Nothobranchius furzeri: one gene and its partners. The protein of the gene in region 2 interacts with the protein of the main gene of each other region in a pairwise test. Links are inferred from orthologs where the notes say so. Each region holds a gene or a part of one and is shown on either strand. Other genes may lie near its edges.

What was found.
Region 1: the proteins of amot (region 2) and ptpa interact in binary tests that used the Homo sapiens proteins (3 or more experiments, as listed by UniProt). The two-hybrid records come from large-scale screens. The link is inferred for Nothobranchius furzeri from reciprocal best matches to the Homo sapiens genes AMOT and PTPA.
Region 3: the proteins of amot (region 2) and ntaq1 interact in binary tests that used the Homo sapiens proteins (3 or more experiments, as listed by UniProt). The two-hybrid records come from large-scale screens. The link is inferred for Nothobranchius furzeri from reciprocal best matches to the Homo sapiens genes AMOT and NTAQ1.
Region 4: the proteins of amot (region 2) and med4 interact in binary tests that used the Homo sapiens proteins (3 or more experiments, as listed by UniProt). The two-hybrid records come from large-scale screens. The link is inferred for Nothobranchius furzeri from reciprocal best matches to the Homo sapiens genes AMOT and MED4.

Annotation. Positions count from the first base shown.
Region 1 is NC_091746.1:70,996,057-71,002,390, reverse strand, and holds the start of ptpa (serine/threonine-protein phosphatase 2A activator), read left to right. Parts: upstream 1-1,884; 5' UTR 1,885-2,006; coding exon 2,007-2,031; intron 2,032-2,706; coding exon 2,707-2,816; intron 2,817-3,012; coding exon 3,013-3,099; intron 3,100-4,236; coding exon 4,237-4,362; intron 4,363-4,439; coding exon 4,440-4,557; intron 4,558-4,676; coding exon 4,677-4,776; intron 4,777-5,156; coding exon 5,157-5,281; intron 5,282-6,010; coding exon 6,011-6,111; intron 6,112-6,334. UniProt on the Homo sapiens protein: PPIases accelerate the folding of proteins. It catalyzes the cis-trans isomerization of proline imidic peptide bonds in oligopeptides. Acts as a regulatory subunit for serine/threonine-protein phosphatase 2A (PP2A).
Region 2 is NC_091750.1:44,157,797-44,163,674, reverse strand, and holds part of amot (angiomotin), read left to right. Parts: intron 1-157; coding exon 158-302; intron 303-858; coding exon 859-951; intron 952-1,091; coding exon 1,092-1,237; intron 1,238-2,014; coding exon 2,015-2,164; intron 2,165-3,329; coding exon 3,330-3,526; intron 3,527-5,555; coding exon 5,556-5,684; intron 5,685-5,878.
Region 3 is NC_091759.1:9,345,507-9,351,489, forward strand, and holds ntaq1 (protein N-terminal glutamine amidohydrolase), read left to right. Parts: upstream 1-2,468; 5' UTR 2,469-2,562; coding exon 2,563-2,627; intron 2,628-2,816; coding exon 2,817-2,916; intron 2,917-3,127; coding exon 3,128-3,178; intron 3,179-3,260; coding exon 3,261-3,409; intron 3,410-3,479; coding exon 3,480-3,604; intron 3,605-3,692; coding exon 3,693-3,835; 3' UTR 3,836-4,163; downstream 4,164-5,983. Other genes in the region: ribosome biogenesis protein bop1, read left to right, coding at 150-282, 368-551, 619-910, 1,002-1,086, 1,167-1,274, 1,361-1,514. UniProt on the Homo sapiens protein: Mediates the side-chain deamidation of N-terminal glutamine residues to glutamate, an important step in N-end rule pathway of protein degradation.
Region 4 is NC_091754.1:35,369,656-35,374,713, forward strand, and holds part of med4 (mediator of RNA polymerase II transcription subunit 4), read left to right. Parts: intron 1-904; coding exon 905-1,075; intron 1,076-1,420; coding exon 1,421-1,478; intron 1,479-2,456; coding exon 2,457-2,543; intron 2,544-2,633; coding exon 2,634-2,765; intron 2,766-5,058. UniProt on the Homo sapiens protein: Component of the Mediator complex, a coactivator involved in the regulated transcription of nearly all RNA polymerase II-dependent genes.

The DNA of each region.
Region 1 (6,334 bases), on a different chromosome or scaffold from region 2:
TGGCCCAATGGCAGCGGCGTCACAGAATGAGACCTCTAGCTCCTGTCTGGCAGAGCCAGTACCAAGAGCAGTTTCCTAAAAGACAAAGGCAATGACTCGGGGAGACGTGTGGTGATGTTCATGTTCGTGTTCCTTTTGATTCCACATTAAGTTGTGTTCAAGGCATTCTGGCATGATGTTTGAACAATGTTTCTCCTCATATGGTTCTGATGAGCACTCAGTTTTCAGACACGTTTCCCACACGTAATGCATTCCTTCCTACTGGACATTCAGTTAAAGTTTGCAGTGGGTTAGCTACAGCCTCTTGCTGGTTTGCCCCTGACACAAACAACACGCTAACGAGGAAAATGTTTCCTCCGCTTATTTGCCGCACGTCTCTGCACACAACACATCTCCTGTGCATGTGTGCCGTCCAGGCGAACGCGGCGACGGCGGTAGGGTTCAGCTATGGCTCATGCATGCGTGTCCTCTCTCTCAAAATGTGCAAGAATTGGTACGAATCTGCAACACGAGCGCATGGTTTCACAACATTGTATATCGTGGTCACAAGCTTCATTTTCGGTCTCGTCCTCCGCCATTTGAGGGGATTGTGGTAACCAAACTGACATCATCAGATAATTATCTTGCCCTTAGATCAGAGCTGAGGGAACTCCTGGAAAAGGAAGCAATTTCCAGGGTTCAGAAAGGCGAGGAAAACTCAGGATTCTGCTCCCTCTACTTCCTGGTTCTGAAGAAGACGTGAGGAGCCAGGCCCGTTCTCGATCTGTCCTTGTTCAACCGCTTCATGGCGGTAAAACACTTCCATAAACTGACAATAAAACAGGTTCTAAGTTATGTGCACCCGGGTTAGGGTCCTCACACTTTGCACTTTCTCCAAATGCCTGGAGATGGCGCTTCAACCCTTACGCACTGCGGGCATGAGGATCCTCTTTTACTCTTTTATGATCTGCTGCTGCTGACATGCTCCGAGCCCGAAGTGGAATCACAGACGCAGGCGTTAGCAGACCACCTGCTCAGGCTGGGGATTTCCAAAAATTGGGAAAAAAGCTCCGTGATCGCTTCTTGGGTGATCACGTCATGGGAGTGGAACTGAACTCTGGGATCAGGAAAGCTTGCCTGTCTCAACTCTGGGTCTGCTTCACATGAGATGCATCCACCTTCCCCCACTCTTTCCACAAGCACGTCCTTGTGCTCCCGCGCAGGGTGCCACAAACTTCACATCCATGGACCTACTTGACAGTACTACATGGATCCTGCCAACAACGCCAAATGTGGCAAGGTGGAGAAACGAGGGCCCGGGCGGGATTCGATCCCCTGACTCCCGGGTGAGAGTCATGTGTTCTTACCAGTCAGCCAAAGGGACATCCCCATGGCCAAGTAGCCAGGGCGCATGATCAATCGGGACATTGTGACAGGACACTCACACTGTCACACATTGATAGTTCAGACGCCTCAAGGTTCACCCGATCCACCACAAACGCCGCATGATGATTGTCTCTAAGAAGACCCTAAGAAGAGCTGTTTCAGTTGAATGAGCTCTATGAAAACCTGACTGGAAACCATCATAGATGTTATGTTCATCAAGATCAGCTGTGAGTTGTTTGGCCACAACCTTTTCCAAGATCTTGGAGATGAACGGAAGTTTAGAGATGGGTCAAGACTGGGTTTTTTTTAAAGATTTGGGTTGGTTACAGCATTCTTAAAGCGCTCAGGGACCTGACCAGAAACCAAAGAAACATTAATTATAGAGAACACACTTGAACTGACGGATTTTTGCCGCAACACAGTTGTAAACAATAACTTCTAAATCTATTTTGCCTGGTTATTTTATTTTATTTTATTTTATATTTTATTTTATTTTATTTTATTTTGCGTCTTGGTGTGGATAACATGTATTTCCAGCTTTGGTTTTCAAGGTGTAGTACCACCATTCGCCACCTAGCCGCAGTAATAAGCTGAGGCGGAGTTAAACTCTCCAAAACCCACGAAGAAGAGCGAGCGTCGCCATGGCGGAAACAAAGCAGCAGGCAGGTAAAAAAATCCACCGGGATGTTGTTTCTTCGTTAAGTTCAGAGTCAAAGTGGTAAAAATGTCTTTAATCGTAGCGTTTAAGCCGCTTTTCTCCATGAGAACGAGTTTTACGGCGGTTAAACTAACCCGGAAGATACACGCTGACTTAGAGACAGAATAAGCTAACATTATCTTCACATTTTAATCACGTGATTAAAATGCTGTCTCATTTTAAATGTATTTGTAATATTTTTTATTGCTCGTGATGTTTTTTTAGCGTTTAATACATCCAGTTGGTTGTTTGGCAATCTTCGGTGTTTTACTGCAGGAATGTACCTCGGAAAGTATTCTTAACGTTGAATTACAGTGTTTTTCAATAATGTTCCAAATAGTTTATTTAATTTTTTCTCTATTCAATATTTCTAGGAACAACTTTCATAAATAACTATTGGGGGGGGTGGGGGGGGGGGGGGGGTAGATGCCCGTTCTTATTTCTATTTAAATATGCTGATTTTAGCAACAACAAACTCATTTTCGTATTTAATCCAACAGAATTAAATAAATTAATTAGAGCTGAGACCTGAATGACAGCAGGACTTCCTCTGTGTCCAGTGAAATAAGAATAATATATAAAATCACCGTCAGCCAGAGTTTTTGGTCCAAAGCTTTATGATTTAACTGAGTGAATGTTTTCAGCCTCCTCCCCTGAAGATGAAGCTCCTGAAGTTTCCGCCCAGGCCAGCTTCATGATACCTAAGAAGGAAATCAGCATGGTGCCCGACATGGGGAAGTGGAAGAGATCTCAGGTAGGTGTCTACCTGCAGCTCTGACACATGTAGCTCACATCCGTTTGGTTCTTTTCCTCTGACTTGTGTTTAAAGGAGAAAACCCCATCAGTTTAGTTTTATAGAAACCAGATGTTCAGATTGAGCTGATGGTGGAGGACATGAACCTGACATGGCGTCTCTGGTGTGTGTCTAAGGTTCTGCTTGTGCCCCACAGGCCTACGCCGACTACATAAGCTTCATCGTCACGCTGAATGAAGGAGTGAAGGGAAAGAAGATGTCGTGTGAATATGAAGTCTCCGAGGTTTGGTTTTTTTTAATGTCTGAAATGGTTTTTATTTTGACTCGGACACCTTTAGAGATGTTCCTCCTAGAGACGGAGTTCCTTTGGACTGAGAACACGGTTCTCCAGTTTTTGTCTCAGCGGACAAACAAAGTCCCTTAAGTAGGGTTGTCACGGTGTGAAAATGTAACCCCTCAGTTATTGTGACCAAAATTATCACGGTTTTCGGTATTAACGCGGTATTTTTTTAAACGTGTTACATTTTCAGACAACTAAATAAACCCTGTATATCAGGAAAATATTGTCCTCGGTTTGTGTCCTTCCAGTGAGCTTTGCAGATTTGGGAAAATGTCATCAGGCAGTAATCATTGTTAAATTCATAATTATTCTCGGAGAGACCAACTCTTATCTGCCCCTGGGAGCCCCGTCATGCATAGCGTCATTTCAACATGGCGGTGTCCGCGACACGGTTTATATGCAGGTAGCGGCACTGCGGCTGCTTTATATAGCGACTCGTTGCATTCTCCCTCAACCCAAATCCTCGGATCACGCATTTTAGCTAAAGCGCTAACGTTAGCTTGCCTTGCGTTGACTGTAGAGTTGTGGGTGATGGTCACGCAGATGTGTCATGAGATTTGAAGCGTTGCTGCCTTTCACAGACACTTTTTCTGCACCTGCTGCAAACAGGATAGCCGTCTTCTATCAACTGTCCCTCGGCATTCTTCAGATATCCAAAAGATGCCCGTACTTCCCACTTTGTCTTCTTTGAGGGATAATAAATGTACTCCTGAGCGCTGCCGTCTCCTCCTTTGGCCATTATTTCAGCTTTAGCTTCAAGAAAGTTTTGGTTGTAAACAACAAAGTGCGCATGTGCCGCCGGCAACTTCAGCAGATGATACGGTGGCTGGTAAGGGTCACCGCGCCTACACCGCAGCCACGGTAATCCACCGAGATAACATATGTTTTAAAAAAACAAGATGGTTATTATTATTGTCAACTTTTTTACCGGGGTTTACCGCTACACTGGTTACCGTGACAACCCTACCCTTAAGGAGGAGGTTTTCCCTCTGCAGCGTTCCGGTTCCTCCTACTCGTGGAGGTGTTCTGACGCTTCGAACAGCAGGTGATGAAGCCGCTTCATGTGGTTGCTTGTTGCAGACGGTGGACAGGCTGCTGGAGCTTTTGGGGACTTTGGACCGTTGGATAAACGAGACTCCTCCTGTTGACCAGCCGTCGCGTTTCGGTAACAAAGCCTACAGAACCTGGTTTGCCAAACTGGAGCAGGTTGGTTCAGACTTCCTCCCACACCGCCGAACCCCCACGCCGTTGATGCTGAGTGTGTCGTTCCTGTGTGTTCCCAGGAAGCCGAGACCTTGGTGTCCGCCGTACTTCCTGCCGACAGATCCGCTGCTGCTCCAGAGATTGCCGTCTACCTGAAAGAGTCGGTCGGGAACCCCACCAGGATAGACTATGGAACGGGTAACAAAGTGGGATTCTGATCCTGCTTCCCTTCCCGGCAGCCAGACTTCCTGTTAAACTGGTTCTGAAGGGACGGTCCTCCAGACCCTCTGGAGGTCTGATGGAGTTTGTGTTCTCAGGTCATGAAGCAGCTTTTGCGGCGTTCCTCTGCTGCCTGTGTAAAGTTGGAGCTCTCAGAGCAGAGGATCAACTCGCCATTGTCTTTAAGGTTTTTGACAGGTGAGCTCTTACTGGTGATGGCACACGGTTACTGGGAACTACTGGTGTAAAAATGGTGCTCCACTTCAGTTTCACCTCTAGAGGCGGAGCTCTAGTGTCGTGTTCCTGAGTGATGGGGCTGATGGAGGCGAGAAGGACCAGCCGAGCAGGACTTTGTCTCTAGTGAGGAGCTGAGCTGGAAGCTCTGGATTTACTGGGCCATCTAAACCCTCACCTGAGGTCATGAGATCTGGATCAGCACCTGAAGATCCAGGACCCAAGCTGCCTCCTCACTGAAAGGAGGCTGTTCTGATTAGGACACCTCCTTATTTAGAGTTAGGTTTTGATGCTTCTCTTGTTCGACCGAGCTATAACATCTGGAACATCTGTGTGTTCTTGAGGTACCTCCAGGTGATGAGGAAGCTGCAGAAAACCTACAGGATGGAGCCGGCTGGGAGCCAAGGAGTCTGGGGCCTGGATGACTTCCAGTTCCTGCCCTTCATCTGGGGCAGCTCCCAGTTCATAGGTGAGGCTCCGCCCACAGAGTTAGGCGATGCACGGACCACTAACACTTTAGTTGTGCTTTTACTAAAATCCTGAACACATCCAAAATGGTGTTCCTGGGACTGCTGCCAGGGCAGAAGGCAGTCCGCCGGGTCCTTTAGGAAAGCAGCTCTTTGTTGTGGGAGGAGCTGCGGTGTAGGGACCGGATGTGAGCACTAGGGGGCAGCAGGCAGACATCCAGCCCTGTCTGATCCCAGCACCGGAGCAGCTGCTCCCCAGAAAACCAACTCCCCTGCAGATTTATCTGTTGGTCAATAACCTGAATTATTTTCACCCTGAACATAAACTACAGACATGTTTTATTATTTCTAACGATCAATAAATCAGCCGGTAATTAAAACCAAATAATAGAATTTTCAGCCGATCTTAAAACGACTCAAATCCCACTTCAGATCAACAAAAGCAGCTTTTTATTTATTTACCTAAAACTAAACGGTTGTTAAGGGAACGCTTTTTGTAAATCAGTTAACGAAGACAAAAGTCAAAAATAGACAACAGTTTTTCAGATTTACCTCAGACCTTCAACGCTGCGAAGTCTGGAGCCTCTGCTGCTGATTGGTTCACAGATTAAATTCCTAAACCAGCTTTAATTTAACACAGAAGTTTAAGGCTGCGCTGGGATATTTCGGATTTGATCGTCAACAGCGACTCCTGGTGGCAACCAGGCCGACTCACGCTGGTTTCTCCTCAGGTCATCCGACTCTGGAACCGCGGCATTTCCTCGACGAGAAGGTGGTGAACGAGAACCACCAAGACTTCATGTTCCTGGAGTGCATCAAGTTCATAAACGAGGTCAGAAACCCGAGTGTGTGTGTGAGTGTGTGTGTGTGTGTGTGTTTTGACTAGTCTTGTCTGCCAGTGGTGGTCGGGGGGACCGAAGGTGCCAGCGCTCGGCAGCCTCGCCTCCATCAGCGTGTCCCAGGGCAGCTGTGGCTACCTCGTAGCTCATCCCCACCAACATGTGAATAACTAATTGTGTTGTAAAGTGACTTGGGGGGTTGTAGAACCATAAGAA
Region 2 (5,878 bases):
GAGAAGAGGACATTTCAAAGGTCAGAGGTCATGAGCCTCTCTGCTTTTGGGAATAAGTGGTTCCTCAGTCTTGTTCTGCGCCTTCTGAATGAATCAAACCTGTTTGTTGATATGATGGTGCCACGCTCACAGCCTGTTTTCTCTGATGTGTGTGTAGCTGGAAATGGAGATCCAGCTGGTATCGGAGGCCTATGAAAACCTGGCCAAGTCCTCCTCCAAGAGGGAGGCGCTAGAGAAGACCATGAGGAACAAGTTGGAGCTGGAGGTGCGCCGTCTGCACGACTTTAACAGAGATCTGCGAGGTGAGTGCAGAAACGCACACCAATAAATCGACAGGACCTTACCGTTTTCTATCAGTCAGATTACAGAAAGGTCCGTTAGAATCCTCCAAAGTGGGTCAGAATCTACTGATTTCTTTAATCCTGTCTTGTTTTTCTGTTCTGATGTGAACAAACACAAACCAGAAGCTAAGTTGTGAGTGAGGATGGTGAAGTTTGCTTTTACACACCCGTTAAAACCACCAGAAGGCTGTTCTCAGGGTGGAGGTGGGCTTGGCCATTTTCAGAAAGTAGGGTCTACGCTTAACGTTGGCTGTGTGAAAAGAAAAGCCTCTTTGTTTTTGTGTTTTAGATTCAAAAACAAATAACAAAAAAATGAGTCACTTATTGTTTTTGGATCACACTAAAATAAAAAAGAAGAAATGATGGGCGGCTTTTGTTTTGCTCTGCAAACAGCAGCTTATCCAGCACAGTTGTGCTCTTCTTGCAGTTTGTGTTCTTAATATTTTGTATCCATATTCTGAGTCACTATTAAACAACAGCAGCGGTGGCATGAATCTGTTCTGCTGCGTTTCCACAGAGCGCATGGAGATGGCCAACAAGCAGCTCGCCTCAAAAGAGTGTGACGGCTCAGAGGACAACCGCAAAACCATCTCCCAGCTGCTGACACAGAGTCAGACACACACTCACACACACACACACACGCACGCACGCACGCACGCACACACACACACACACCCTAACCTGATGAATGATTCCATATTGCCCAGCTCTACCTCTTCATGCTGAGTTTCCATTCTTCTACATCTACAGACAAAGAAACGCTGCGTGAGAAAGAGAAGGTGGAGATGGAGCTAAATGCCCTCCGCTCCACCACAGATGACCAGAGGAGACACATCGAGATCAGAGACCAGGCCCTCAACAATGCTCAGGCCAAAGTGGTCAAGCTGGAGGAGGAGGTAGTGCTCTTTTACGTAGTCCGTCTGTGTAAAAACGTCCTCCAGTGGTGGGTCAGCCAGTCAGGGGACAACGGGGAGTTAGACAGGACTGAGGGGTTCCCGGTCAGGGAGAGGACGAGACGAGGAGGAGAGTGCAGCACAAAGAGGGCGAATATTAGAGGGAAAACACTTGCAATGGCCGGCTGATCTGGTGTTTAACTGATAGCTTTGTCTGGTCATTATTGACTCCAGTTAGGAAGCAGAATATTGACTCTCTGATGACGAAATTCATTCATCCAGCCGGAAAGATTGACGCTGCTGCAGCTCGCAACATCAGACAGCTGGTGCTGCCTTACAAGCTCCAAACGCTGAGTTTGAAGTTTGTTTCACCGTGTTTGGGACATGGTGGATGTACAAATAATGGTTAGAACACCGCTAACCCTAACCGCGGCAGATGCGCTACATATGGAAGTCAAAGTGTGCCGCATAATCATCAAAATAAAATTTAAACATTAAAATTTATATATATAAATATATATATGTATATGCATGTATGTATGTATGTATGTTATATATATATACACACACATATATATATATATATATATATATATATATATATTAGATTTGATTCTTTTTTTCAGAATCAAACATAATTTTAATCACCTTTGAAACGTACAATCCTGGAAAAACCTCGTCCAGCTAGTGTGAACGTCCTGTTCTCAGTGATTAGATCATAATTCATCCATCAAACTGTCCAGAGCTGTGTTTCTAATGTGTGTGTGTGTGTGTGTGTAGCTGAAGAAGAAGCAGGTTTACGTGGAGAAGGTGGAGAGGATGCAGCAGGCTCTGGCTCAGCTGCAGGCAGCTTGTGAGAAGAGGGAACAGCTTGAACATCGGTTGCGAACAAGACTGGAAAGAGAGCTGGAATCTCTCCGCCTGCAGCAGGTAAGGCAGCGTTGTGCACTCACGGCTCCTCGACTTCATCACAAGTTATTGAGCAGGCCTGTTGTGGGGGTGACCATGCATCTGGGTGCAGCTAAATAAAACAAGCTAAGTAAAAGTAGCAGACAATGTTCATAAACGCTCCACCACACCTGGTCTAACACGTTCCTCAGCTTATCTCACATCTCCAGAGTTTGCAGCAGAAAGAGTTGTCCGTTCCTGAGTGTCACGCTAAAGTCGTGTCAGAACACTTGTAAGACTGGAGATGTCTTCTCTGTCTAGTTCATTGTTGATCTGCACTCCAAAGCAGGAGCACTGGGAAGTCCTCCACCTGTTCTTTTGGCTTTGCCACTTTAAGCCAGGATCACATCAGCAGCGAAGCGCCACTAAGTGGATCGCTCACGAAATTTGAGTGCTGCCCGCTGCTGCTCTGTTTATATCAGGCGAGATTTTTCAACAAGCGCTTCTGCTCACGCCTACCGTCCCCCCCCCACCCCCCCCACCCCACCCTCATGCCCTTGCTGTGCGTGTGTGTGTGTGTGTGTGTGAGTGTTTGTGTCTTTGTTCATTTTCATCTCTATTCTGTTTAGATACACAAAAATGATCACATTTATCAATCGCTGTGCTTTATTTAGAAAAAAGTCTTTATTTTGTTACATTTACTGGCCTGCCTCTTCTGTTTGACTTCCTGACAAAATTCACACGGCTCGTGAAAAAGAGCACACACCAAAATGATCGCTGCACGCCGCGAGCCTTCGGCACTTCACAGCTGATGTGATTGAGACCGTAGGTTAACAAGGGCGCCGAGTAGAAGCGCTCTTCGTTCCACAGCGCTTCACGACGCATCGTCGCGCATCTGCGTCTGATGTGATCCAGGTGTTGGGCTGCAGGGGATTCTGCTCTCCTGCCTTGTACTTGGCTTCATTCCTTCCTGATCATACAACGTCAGGCATCAGAAAGGTTTAGGAGGTGGCAGCTCTCCTTGAGTGAAGACTAGACCACAAGGCCCACACCTGTGGAAACTCTAAATATAACAGTTAATATTTTAGTAAAACTCAAACACTTTTTAACGTTTTGTTCAGAAGCTTTGTTGCTTTTGTTTCTACAGTAAACATTTTGACGGGGAGATAAAACCCCACTTTTACCTTTTTGTCTCCTCGCCTCGCAGCGTCAGGGAAGCTCTCAGAGCAGCGGTGCCGTCCCGTCTGAGTACAACGCCACAGCCCTGATGGAGCATCTAAGGGAGAAGGAGGAACGGATTCTGGCTCTAGAGGCCGACATGACCAAGTGGGAGCAGAAGTACTTGGAGGAGAGCGTGATGAGGCAGTTTGCTCTGGATGCTGCTGCTTCTGTTGCTACTCAGAGGTGAGCGTTTCTCCAGTTAGGGGCGTTATGTTTATGTTTATGTATTTAGCAGACGCGTTTGTCCAAAGCGACTTACAAGTGATAATCGGCATGTTGCCCTTGAGGCTAACAACAACTTGACATCAGTCATGGAGAGGAGGGAACAAGGAGTGGACAGTAGAGAGGGGGGACGGGTGCAGGGAGGGTGCTAGTTTAGAAGATGCTCTCTGAAGAGCAGGGTCTTCAGGAGTTTCTTGAAAATTGAAAAGGAAGCCGCTGTTCTGGTAGTGCTTGGAAGGTCATTCCACATTTGTGGAACGATGCATGAGAAGAGTCTGGATTGTCCTGAGCGTGGTGTAGGCACTGCTAGCCGATGATCCTGTGATGACCGGAGCGGCCGGGCCGAGACGTAAGCCTTTGCAAGAGGATTCAGGTAGAGGGGAGCCGTACCATCTCGGACTTTGTATGCTAGTGTTAGCAATTTGAATTTGATGCGTGCTGCTAGCGGTAGCCAGTGGAGCTCAATGAACAGAGGGGTGACGTGTGCTCTTTTTGGCTGATTGAAGACCAGACGCGCCGCTGCGTTCTGGACCATTTGAAGAGGTCTCACAGTACAGCCTGGAAGACCAGTTAGAAGGGCATTGCAGTAGTCGAGGCGGGAGATGACAGTAGATTGCACCAGGAGCTGGGTGGCATGTTGTGTTAGGTATGGTCTGATCTTTCGTATGTTATACAGCGCAAAGCGGCATGAACGAGCAACAGAGGCAACATGATCTTTAAAGGTCAGGTGTTCATCAATCACAACACCCAGATTTCGAACTGCATTTGAAGGAGCCAGAGACAGGAAGTCATTCTGGATTGAGATATTGTGCTGTATGGATGGTTTCGCTGGGATGACAAGTAGTTCAGTTTTAGAGAGGTTGAGTTGAAGATGGTGGGATTTCATCCATTTTGATATGTCAGAGAGACAGTTTGATATTCGTGCAGAGACAGTGTGGTCGTCTGGTGGAAATGACCGATAGAGCTGGGTGTCGTCTGCATAGCTATACGTCTCACGCAGGAACATCTGGACTTGGGTCATTTAATGTCCAACATACTCGTTACCTTACCAACATGTGGTAAGTGTAGTCAGTTAGAGATTTTGTAATAGGAATCCTCTACGTGTTAGGCTGCACGCTTCCATTTAGCCCACAGCAGGTGAAAGATCGCATCTCATTACAAAATCTCAAATGAGCCAAAAATCCCCACTAGACTGAAACCGATTATAATATCCAAAAGCTGCTGAGTATGTTGTTGTAGTCCCACATCAATCGAATCTTCTGACCAGCGTCATAGGAACAGCACAGTCTGTGTAAGGCGGGAGGAATTTCACGTTGTTCTCAATGAAAATGTTACATTACCATGGTAACCCCACATGTAATACAAGTAATAATTTACACTTCTTGTGCCTGAACGGAATGTTTTGAGGAGTAAATTGTGCTGGTGAATGAATGAATGACATCTTCATTTCAGACATAAAAAATATTAATTATATTATTTATTATTTTATTATTATTATTAAATAATTAATAACAGATCTAATCAGGAAATGACAGGAAAATTATGATGTGCTCATTAAATCCTACCCCCCAGATGCCTCATCCAATAAAAACACCCATATAAATATTTGTATACTTAAGGTGTCCTCCATGTCACACATAACACTAACTCGCTCACCAGATCATGCAGAAATACGGCCCATCACATGTACTCCTGCATTAATGATTCTTTTAATAAAATATTTTAGTTGATTTATAATTACACAGCTTTTTAATTCCTCATCAGCCCTGTTCCACACATTTCCTCCACAGACTGAAATGCACATTATCCTCATTGGTGTACATGTGGACACAGTCCCCATGTCCCATGTGCAAAGACTATTTTCAAAGGTACAACAAGGCAGGAGACTCCTGGTCTATGTATATGGACTAGAGTGAGAGACATGGTAAAACTCACCTGATGACTGGAAGCCGCCGTTCTGTTGACGTGAACTTTGACCTTTGTTGTGCAGGGATGCTTCTGCAGCAGGAATAAACCACTCACCAAGCAGCAGCTACGACACGTCGCTGGAAGCTCGCATCCAGAAGGAGGAAGAGGAGATCCTCATGGCTAATCGTCGCTGCCTGGACATGGAGAGCAGGTTAGAGCCACATTCACTGTGTGCACTTCTGTCTTCATTCACATGTACATGACGTGCAGGCTCCCCTCACCCTGACCGCTGAGGCGTCGTCGCTCCTGAACTTTAACTGCAGGAGTGATGAGTCAAAGACTTTTGTGAAACACCACATAGCTCAGACTACTGATGGATGGACCACCAGAACCACAGAAGTTTTC
Region 3 (5,983 bases), on a different chromosome or scaffold from region 2:
GGCGCACCGCACCACAGGGCGCGGCGTACATTTTGGAGAAAATTTAAGACTCTTAGGTGCGCCTTATGGTCGTGAAAATACGGTACTTGTAAACCCTGGGAACGAGGGTCTGTCTGGTTACTGAGGTGGGCATTGTAACGTGTCTGCAGGTAGCGATGACTGCTCCGTCAGGTTGTGGGAGGTGTGCTCGTCCCGTTGCATGAAGACAATCCAGGTGGGCGGAGCTGTAAAGAGCGTTGCATGGAACCCAAACCCGTCTCTGTGTCTCCTGGCTGTTGCTGTGTAAGGATCTGGTTTTCTGTCTGTTTTGCAGATCAATCTGTTACATGCATCCTTTTTATTTTTTTATTTATTTCTGTTTTTTTAGGGAGTCCACCGTCTTGATCCTGTCTCCTGCTCTGGCAGACAAACTGGTAATTTCATCATCAGAGAAGTTTCTTACTGGTCAGCAGGAAGAGGGGCCTTCAGATGGAGCAGACCCTGTGGTCTGGTCAGAAACTGAGGGGGAGGAGCTAAATCAGGGGATCCGTCTCAAGATCAAGCACCCCAAAGTGAGACTGTCCTCTAAATAATTCTGGGTTTTGTCTGGTGGGAACTAACTGGTCAGCGTCCCCACAGGTTGTCCACCAGGTGACGTGGCATGCTAAAGGAGACTACCTGGCATCTGTGATGCCTGAACACTCAAGCCACCTGCAGGTGTTCATCCACCAGGTGAGCAAGAGACGGAGCCAGAATCCCTTCAGGAAGAGTAAAGGTCTTGTCCAGTGCGTGTCCTTCCACCCCATCAGGCCCTACTTCTTTGTAGCCACTCAGCGTTGTGTGAGGATCTACAACCTAGTCAAACAGGAAATGACCAAAAAACTACAAGCCAACTCCAAGTGGATCTCCAGTATAGCAGTCCACCCTGGAGGTCAGTAGGTCACAACGGCACCGCCTCAGTGTAAACGTTAAAGATAGTTCTATAGAAGAGCTTTAGTTTCACCTGTCTGACTTACCTGCAGGTGATCATGTGATCTGTGGGAGCTACGACTGCAGGATGAGCTGGTTTGACCTTGATCTCTCAACCAAACCTTACAAAATGCTGCGGTACGCTCCTAAGAGTCCATCAGTAGTCTTTGTCATTGTGCCAGTTCTAATAAAGCTTTTTGATCACTTCTTTCCTTCAGACACCATAAGAAAGCAGTGAGGGGTGTGGCCTATCACAGAGGTTACCCTCTGTTTGCCTCGGCGTCTGATGATGGATCGGTGATCGTCTGTCACGGGACTGTTTACAAGTAAGACCACAAACACACCCTGAAAATCTATTCATAACAAGACTTATAAAAGACAGGATATTAAAACTTGCCGCCGTCTCTTCCAGCGACCTGCTTCAGAACCCGCTGATAGTACCTGTAAAAGTTCTCAGAGGTCATGTGATCACCCACGATCTTGGTGTTCTGGACGTGATCTTTCACCCCACTCAGCCGTGGGTCTTTTCCTCAGGAGCTGACGCCACCATCCGGCTCTTCACCTAAAGTGTTTTAACCAGCAGCAGCTCTGTGTGTGTGTGGGAGGAGTCTGACCTCCCTAATGGACTGATTACCAGGATACCTTCTTCTTTTTTTTTTGTTTTGTTTTCTGTAGTTTATTTTATTGTTTTCAATAAAATGTATTTTATTGTTTTCAATAAAATATATTGTTCTTACAATTTGTCTCTGTATGTTAAAACTAGGAGAATTATTGATTCTTTTTTTAAAACCTACAAAATGTAGTTTTATTTGTCTGCCTTCATTTTAAAGGAGTTTGTGTTGCGGTTACCTTTTTGAAAAACAAGACCATTTATTACAGCTTTCAAAAAGGAAATAAAATTATCTAAAATTATCAACATAATTACAGCTCTAAAGGTTTTTTTTTTTTGTTTGTTTGTTTTGTTGCCAGAGGCAGAAATTAGGACTATCCCAAATATAAAGTATTTGTGCTTCAAATTTCATCATTATGGATATTTTTAACTTGAACCAAGTTTTTGGGTATTTTGTACAAAGCTTGTTTCTAATAGTAAAAGTATTTGTAATAACCATGTAAATGCACGACTGCGCAGGCCTGGGAATATTTGTTGTATCTGTTGTTTAACCAGGTTAAAGGCCTCTCTTAAGAATAAAATCTCTAAGAATATCAGCTTTCTTTATGTATCAGTTGTGCTGAACACAAGCGGGAACTATGTTTAACGAAAATATTCGGGTACCAGGGTCTGCAAAATGTTCTTAGAATATTTACTACAAACAATTTTCTTTATAATGAAGTTGGTGTGACAAGAGTTTTCAACCATGGGGACACATTTCGAAGTGACACCGTCGGAGCGGTTTCGGTGTAACACCGAACCGCGAGTTCTGTTACTGGTAAATCCATTCTGTTACATCATGAAAAAAACTTCAGTTTGTTGGGTTTTACATAATTATTCGTCAAATTTTGTAGCAAAAAACAAACAATTTTCTTTATAATGAAGTTGATGTGACAAGAGTTTTCAACCATGGGGACACATTTCGAAGTGACACCGTCGGAGCGGTTTCGGTGTAACACCGAACCATGAAGGCAGTAAAGGATCGAATCACACCGAGTCGTGAGTTCTGTGTTTACACCAGCTGTTACTGGTAAATCCATTCTGTTACATCATGATTAAAAAAAACTCCAGTTTGTTGGGTTTTACATAATTATTCATCAAATTTTGTAGCAAAACGCAGTTGGCTTAAATGGTAGCTGCTACATTCTTATGGATATGATTTTATTATTATTAGATTATTTTTGCTGTTTGATTAGTGATGTCTTAATTTGCTTTGCAGTGAGGAGAATGTGTGGAAGTTGTGTGAGTTTGTTCAAACAGCGAGGACTGCTCCACTGGAACAGCTCTTTGTGGTTTTCATCTCTAATGACAACAGAATGGTGAGAAGATCAGCTCTGAGAAGTTTGTCATGTGTTACAAAACCCTTTAAACATATTTAACTCAACAGATTTAGTCTCAACAGGTCTAAAGTTTAACAAATCATCACGAATCCCCTTAAATTTGCCAAGTTTGTATAAAGAATCAACATTTTCACTAAGATCTGACTTCTGCTGCTGCTGCTGATCAGTGATGTTATTTGTTCTCCTTCAGGTTCCTCTGTGGAAGCAGAAGTCTGGACACGCTGACCATCCAGTGATCTGGGTCTATGATTCTCCTTCCTGTTAAAGTGGCCTCAGAGCATTAAAATAATACATTGTTAATCATGTTTTTTTGGGTGTTTTAGGACTACCATGTGATCCTGCTTCATGTGGATCCTCAGTCGGAGGTTCTGGTTTATGATCTGGACACAGAGCTGTCATTCCCATGCAATCTGAGGCTTTATGGCAGCCAGGCCCTCCGCTCAGACCACCACATCAAACCTGAATATCACAGGTAGCACTGCTGAATTACACAGGTAATGCACTGGAGTGAAATCACCAACACCTTCTCATATCTGTGACAGGAAGTTGCGTGTGATTCCTGCTGAGAGCTTCCTCTTGAACTTTGCGTCTGATCGAACTCACATGAAGAACCCTGATGGGAGCTGGAAGAAGCCCCCTCCCTCTTACCCCCCTTTAAAGACCACTGGTAACAAATCAAGTTAATGTGGAGCATGTTTTCTGATTCCTGTCTTAGGAAAAGGTGATTTTGTACTTTTGGTGCATTTCCTCTTCAGGGTGTCAGATGAACCTGGATGACTTCATCAGCATGAGCCCAGCTGTTGGCTGGGGGACAGTTTTCAGTCTGAATCAGTTTCTACAGAAATACTTAGGTTGCTCCTCCACCACCTCTTCATCTTCATCATCAGCTCAATCCTGATCAGCATCCTGGCAGCTGCTGTTTTGTGATTAGCTTTTATGTTATTATGAACATTTAATCTGAAATGATTGAGAGACTGAGACAAACATTGAACTGAACTTTATGTTTTGGGCTGAGCTGCATCTCGTTTGACCTCTCTTGAGTTTCACCTTGGCCTCTGAAGCTCAGAGGAAACCAGAAACATGACGACGACAGCGCTTCAGCCATGTCACAGATTCATCTGGAAACTGAAGTGATCCTTCATCACACACGCCTGTGAGAACTTTGAGCATCAGCACCTTGATTTCACCTGAGTTCCTGAGAAATAAAAAGATTTTATTTAATCTTTGATCGCGTTGGATTCTCTGTCTCTGTAGCGCAATGATAGAATAAAAATTAAATGTATAATTGTAACTTTTGGTGTCAATTTGAATCTTGGTTTCCAGAATATTTTAACAATTAAAACTTGGTGAAATTATGCAGATTCTAGTTAACAGCAGATTTGTGTTTGGGTATAAGTTCTATTTACCGTTATAGATGACTGGTGGAACTTGTGCAATCACTTTCACCTGTCATATGTTTGTGTTCAGTATGGCAGGAGTGGTTAGGACACTGGTTTAAACAGGAGGATCAGGCATGTTTGGTTTCAAATTCTTTTCTGGAAGAAGCTCAGGACAGCAACATCCAGATAAAGTAAGCAACCTGTTTTATTTTATCAATCAAACAATCTTTAAGATTATTTTCTTTTGAGTTCTTTGTCCCTTTGAGAAATGCACATCTCTTTAGAACAAACATGAGCGACAACAACAACTCTGACCAGGACGGGGGTCGGCAACCAGCGGCTCTGGAGCCGCATGTGGCTCTTCCATCCATCTGATGCGGCTCTCTGTGCTTGTAAAATAATGAATGGATATTTAAATAAAATGCTTTATATTTTACTGCATACATTTTACATCTGTATGCCAATTCTAAATGTAAAGATTGTCTGCGTAAACCTGAACAGTTCCAACCCGGTCTTACTGTGAGACCGGGTTGACGCGTCACGCTTGTGCGTAATCATAGGTGCTTTCTGAGCTGAAGAGGATATGAGATTCTGGGATTCTCCTCAGACGGCTCCTGGATGTGTCGCCACATTGGAGACAGGAACAAGCGCTATTCAGCCAAAGTTTCATAATCAGGTGTAGGAGAAACTGGCTTGGCTCAGCCATATTGTAGCGTTGTGGTCTTACGCTCTTTTATGAAAGAGGAACCATGCTACGTATTAATTCGGAATATTAATTTTTAATAAATCAATAACCAAATTTTATATTGTTAAGAAGACTCAAAGGTTGTTTTCATCAATAAACTGACGATAATATCTGTGTGTCTGTGTTTCAGTTCAATGAGGAAACCAGTTTGACAATTAAAAGTTTTAATTCTTCAAATTAAACTAATGATTTTGAAATTGACAAACAGGAAATAACAATCAACATTGGCAACTTGTGGGACAATCTTTAACAGTTGATATGATCAAATAGACCTTGTGGTGAATTTATGAAGATTGAGAATGTTGTGATATGACTGCGTGTGTGAGTCTGATTTTGCTTCAGGAAGAAACAGGTGTCTGAGTGAAGTGATGGTTTGGATAAACTTAGGTCTTATCAGAGAACTGCATCAAACGCTAAACACCGTGTTCTGTCTCACCGAACTCTTGTGGACCCTCTTTCGGATCCGGGCCGTGGAGGATGGTGATGGTTCATCCAGGTGACACCAACGGCTGACAGGGGAGACGTAGGTGTCGAACGGAACCGTTCCAGAGTTGCCCTCGGTACACGTTGATGGTAAAGCGTTTTGGCGATGCGCTTGTTAAGTTTAGTTCACTCAGAAATCAAAGACTCTGTATGAGTCTGCGTTAAAAGTTGTGATTCAGCTGTCCTGTCTGGCTGACAGGAACAGCGTGAGAGGGGGGGAGAAACGAGCCAACCGGCTCCCCCCTTTTAGCGTTTATTCAGGTCCTCTCTCTTTTGTTGTCAAGCACGAACTGAAATCAAGACTGAAACTTACCAAAAACCTTTCTCTTCTCAAAGCAAATGTGTTTTGGAGTTTACTGTGAGAATCTGTGTGTGGGTGTGTTTTTGAGTGTTTGTGAAGGTCGCCAACAAACATCCTCAAACATTATTTAAGAATGGA
Region 4 (5,058 bases), on a different chromosome or scaffold from region 2:
ACTGAATAATAAAACACCACGGGCGAGTTCCGCTGTGGAACTCGTCGGCTACTGCCTCTTGTCCCTTTAAGACAAAACCAGCTGTTCAGCATAAGTAAAATCAAACAATCAGGTACTTAGCTGGCCCAGTCGATGCGACCCCCTCCCCGGGGTCTGAGCTTCCAACACCGTCCAACGCCCCGGGGTTCAGCTTGCGTGGACGGCAGGTGAGTCCATGGCTCGGGTCCGGCTGCCAGAGTTTGCTGTGGCAGATGTCGGCGTGGTCTCGGCACCCAAATACTCCCAGCCCTCGCTACCTAAAGAAGGCGTCAAGCCTCCCGTCCTAGCACTGGAACACTGCCCACCTACTCAGCTGTCTTCATCGCCGGCAGTCCTAACCAACTGCGAACGATCCCACCCCCCAGAACCGGGTGTCACAATGACAGGTCGACCATACACACACACACCTTGGTAGATCTGCCACCCTTTTATCATCTCCGGCCTCATCACACCTGACAAGCACCAGCCGGCGTCTAGTTGCCACGCCCCCAGAATCTGGCAAATCCCATCTTCTGCCTTTCACAGTATGTTCAGGTACCCTCAGGAGACACTTTTTACTTCTCCGTGCAGATTTGATGTTATATTCCTCATAATGAGATGATGTTTGATTTCTGTATTGGTTTTATTTGACGTTGTTGTATTTTTGGCATTTTTTTTCTGCTGCCTTTTCATTTTTGAGTGTTTACATTTCAACTACTACCTATTATTGTTATTGTTGGAATCACTTTTCCTGGAAGATCTGAGGTACACTGGTGTCTATAATGATGCAGCAAAGTCTGCTGATTAGACATGCCATGGCTGTTAACTGGTTATCCTTTGAATATGAATTTGGATGTAACATTTGCAATCTGTTTTTCCCATCTAGATCATTGATCTGCTGGTGCAGAGGGACACGGAGTTCCAGGAGCTGATGGAGGTGGCCCAGCAGCAGGGGAAGGTTCACCAGGAGATGCAGCTGCTGGAGAAGGAGGTGGAGAAAAGAGACAGCGACATCCAGCAGCTCCAGAAGCAGCTGAAGGAGGCCGAACACATACTAGTAGGTTTGTTGTAGGAATTGCAATGCGGTGATATGATTTAGCACCATCTGTATGAGCTGCATTCCATTCCTGCAGCTGTGTGCTGCTGCTTGTTTGTAAACTGCTTAAAGACTGAACTTTTACAATAGCTGATGGGAATTTACAAACCAAACAAAAGCATGAAGCTGTCATGGAGAAGGGTGGAGCAGCTGCTGCTTCAGAGTGGGTTTGTGTGAAGTCTCCACCAACGCTGCTGGTTTTGGTCAACATGAATAATTAGTAGAAACTCACAAACACATCATTCTTTAAATCTGAGTGTTTTCTTTCCTCAAATGATTTTTGGTTCCCTTGTTCTTTTATTTAAGGCCACCGCTGTTTACCAGGCAAAAGAGAAACTTAAGTCTATAGAAAAAGCCCGGAAAGGTGAGGAACACACACACACACACACACACACGGAACACACTCACATGGAACACACACACAGAACACGCACGCACGCACACACACACACGGAACACACAAACGTGCACGCAGGCACACACACACGTAACACGCATGCACACACACACGGAACACACACACGCACGCACACACACACACATGGAACGCACACACACACACACACACACATGGAACGCACGCACACACACACACACACACACACACGGAACACACAAACGTGCACGCAGGCACACACACACACACACGTAACACGCATGCACACACACGCACACACACATGGAACACACACATGCACGCACACACACACACACACACACACACACACACACACATGGAACGCACGCACACACACACACACACACACACACATGGAACGCATGCACACACACACACACACACGGAACACACAAACGTGCACGCAGGCACACACACACGTAACACGCATGCACACACACGCACACACACATGGAACACACACACACACACACACACACGGAACACACAAACGTGCACGCAGGCACACACACACACACGTAACACGCATGCACACACACGCACACACACATGGAACACACACACGCACGCACACACACACACATGGAACGCACGCACACACACACACACACACATGGAACGCACGCACACACACACACACACACACACACACACACACACACACACACACACGGAACACACAAACGTGCACGCAGGCACACACACACGTAACACGCAGGCACACACACGCACACACACATGGAACACACACACGCACGCACACACACACACACACACGAAACACACACGTACACACACACGTAACACACACGCGCGCACACACACGTACACACACACATGGAACACACACACACACACACTAATGAAGTCTGTCTTGTTCTTGTTTTTCTTTCATTTGTCTTGATTTTGAGTTTTTAATTGCAGGAAGCATTTCATCAGAGGAAATCATCAAATACGCTCACCGAATCAGTGCCAGCAACGCCGTGTGTGCTCCACTCAACTGGGTGCCAGGTAGGAGCTGGAGGCCCCTGCAGTTCCCACTGGCTGTCAGTAGAGGGCAGGTTTGACTTCATTAACACACCATCCAAACGTTGGTGACAGGAGATCCACGCAGACCTTATCCCACCGACCTGGAAATGCGCAGCGGGATGCTGGGTCACATGGCAAACCTGCCATCCAACGGTGTGAACGGACACCTGCCAGGTGATGCTCTGGCTGCAGGACGGTTACCAGGTAAGTTAAAAAGAGCAGAATTAAAACACTTGAGTGCCGCGTAAGTTCAGGTCTTTATGAAGACTGGTTTTGTTTTATACTGACACTTCAGAATGTGTCTTGTTCCATACCATCTTTATTTATATAGCATGTATAAAAGTAGCATGGCAGAAGACCAAAGATGCTTACACGGAACAAATCCAGCACTTTTAATGAGATGAAGCATCAAAAACATTTCAAAATTTAGCATAAAAAGAGAAAAATAACATTGAGACTAAATAACAAAAGATGGAAAATGTACAAACACTAAAACAATCAGCTGAAAAATAGATGAAATAGAAGCCAAGATAAGCTGTATAAACTGTCTTTTATAACAACTAAAACATTGGAGTGACTTAACTGTAGAGTTGGGCATCGAGCATCGATGGGAACCGGGACCAGGAGTGAGTTTTTCCCGGAAACGCTCAAAGTTTCTTTGGTGTGTTGTTACTGTGTCTAGTTTCTAATAACATTTTGGTTCTTTTTAAAACACAGAAACCTTTCCTGTGTTTTAAAAAGAACCAAAAACGCTCAGTTTTTTATTTCAATTCCTAGATCCTGACCGGAAGAGGAATTCGCAGCTGACCTCCGTGAAAAACAAACGTGATCTGCAAATTCTGATCGGCACTTTTCAGAGCTGAACACACCAGCTGTCTGTCGCCTGCAGAGCTTTCTCTCTGGTGGACCACACCGGGTTATGCCCACTGTAGCCCACAGGGATAATAATATAAAAATAAAAAATGTCACAACACACAGTTGTGACATTTTTTATTTCCTTTTTGAACTATTTAATCTGGTGTGAGTTTTAATGTTTAAATCTGTTAGATTGTTACTGACAGCAGCTACATTCAAGCTTCACTTTTTGTTCTGACTGAATGCTGCTGCAGCACGGAGGTGTCGACTCAGTCATCCTGGACATGATCATCCTGATGGTTTCAGTTATAAACAGCTGGACTTTTCTGGTTATGTTGGAGACATTTAGCCTCTCATCCCAGAAGCTTCTTCAGTTCCCACACTTTGGTTGTGGTCAGAAACAAACACACTTATAACATGTTTTTGTCTAAATGAAAGTGACCGTTACAGAAAGCAATCAAAAAAGAACAAGAAAAACCCATAAGAGTCATGTAGGATCTGAGCTGAGTTAGCCTAATCCAGACGGGAGGAGATGAGTGTAGAAGGATGGATTTTAACACTGTAATGCAGCAAAAATGGGGGGAAAAACAAGAACTCACAGTTGCAATGGTTTGTGTTTATCAGGGAAAGATGAATAAAATGCTCTTTAAATACACGTTTCACTGAATTTTGGGGAAACTTCCTTTAGATTCTTAATAAATTCCAACCAGCAGCTGAAGCACTTTTCCTTTGATCAAACATCAATAGGGCAGATCCATATAACCTATAAAGTATTATTTTCCTAATATCCAGAGGTGGATCTGTGTTAGCTGTGTAAAGTTTCACCACATCGATGCATAAACAAGACCTGGAAAGATGCATTTCAAATATATGAAACCACGGGACAACCGTCTCACCATTAGTCTTGGGCCCGACCGATATATCGACCTGCTGATATTATCGGCCGATATTGGGGTCATTAACAGTATCGGCTATCGGCTAAAAAGTCGGCTGATATGGCTGATATTGCGCTACCTACCCAGCAGATGGCGCCAGCTTTATGAATAAGTTTTGTGAATACTTCACCAAGTTAACTTCCACAGAGTGTTACTTTGTTACGAAGCACAAGTATTACGTTTTATTTATTGCTGCATTTTTATTATTTTAATATTCTTATAGGGATCTTCTGTCCCTAAACTTGTGTGTTGTTAGATTCCCCAGAGTTAACCAAGTCAGAAAAAACATGTTGTAACCAGTTGTTTTAGCATAAAGCAATGGAAGGGAAGGCTTGCATTCACCTACATAAAAACACTACAATGTGTGTGAATTCACTTACATTGTTTTATGCTAAACACGCAGACACACGGAACAGATCATATTGGGCTGTTATAAAATGCTTTTTCTGACTTGTCTAACTCTGGGGAATCTTAACAAGACACAACTTTACTGAGTGATGGAATGTTCCTTTAAGTTAAAATGTATTAGTGGAAACCACAGTTTACAAGAAAAACTTGAATGTTAGATTTATGCTGTGACTGAGTTTGTGTGTTCTGTTGTTTTTGAGATCTGCTAAATAAATCTTATTTGCATTACTTGGAACCCCTAGTGAGTTATGGAGACAGTTCTTTGGTGTGTAATAGAGAAATAAGTTTGCATCAAAAAG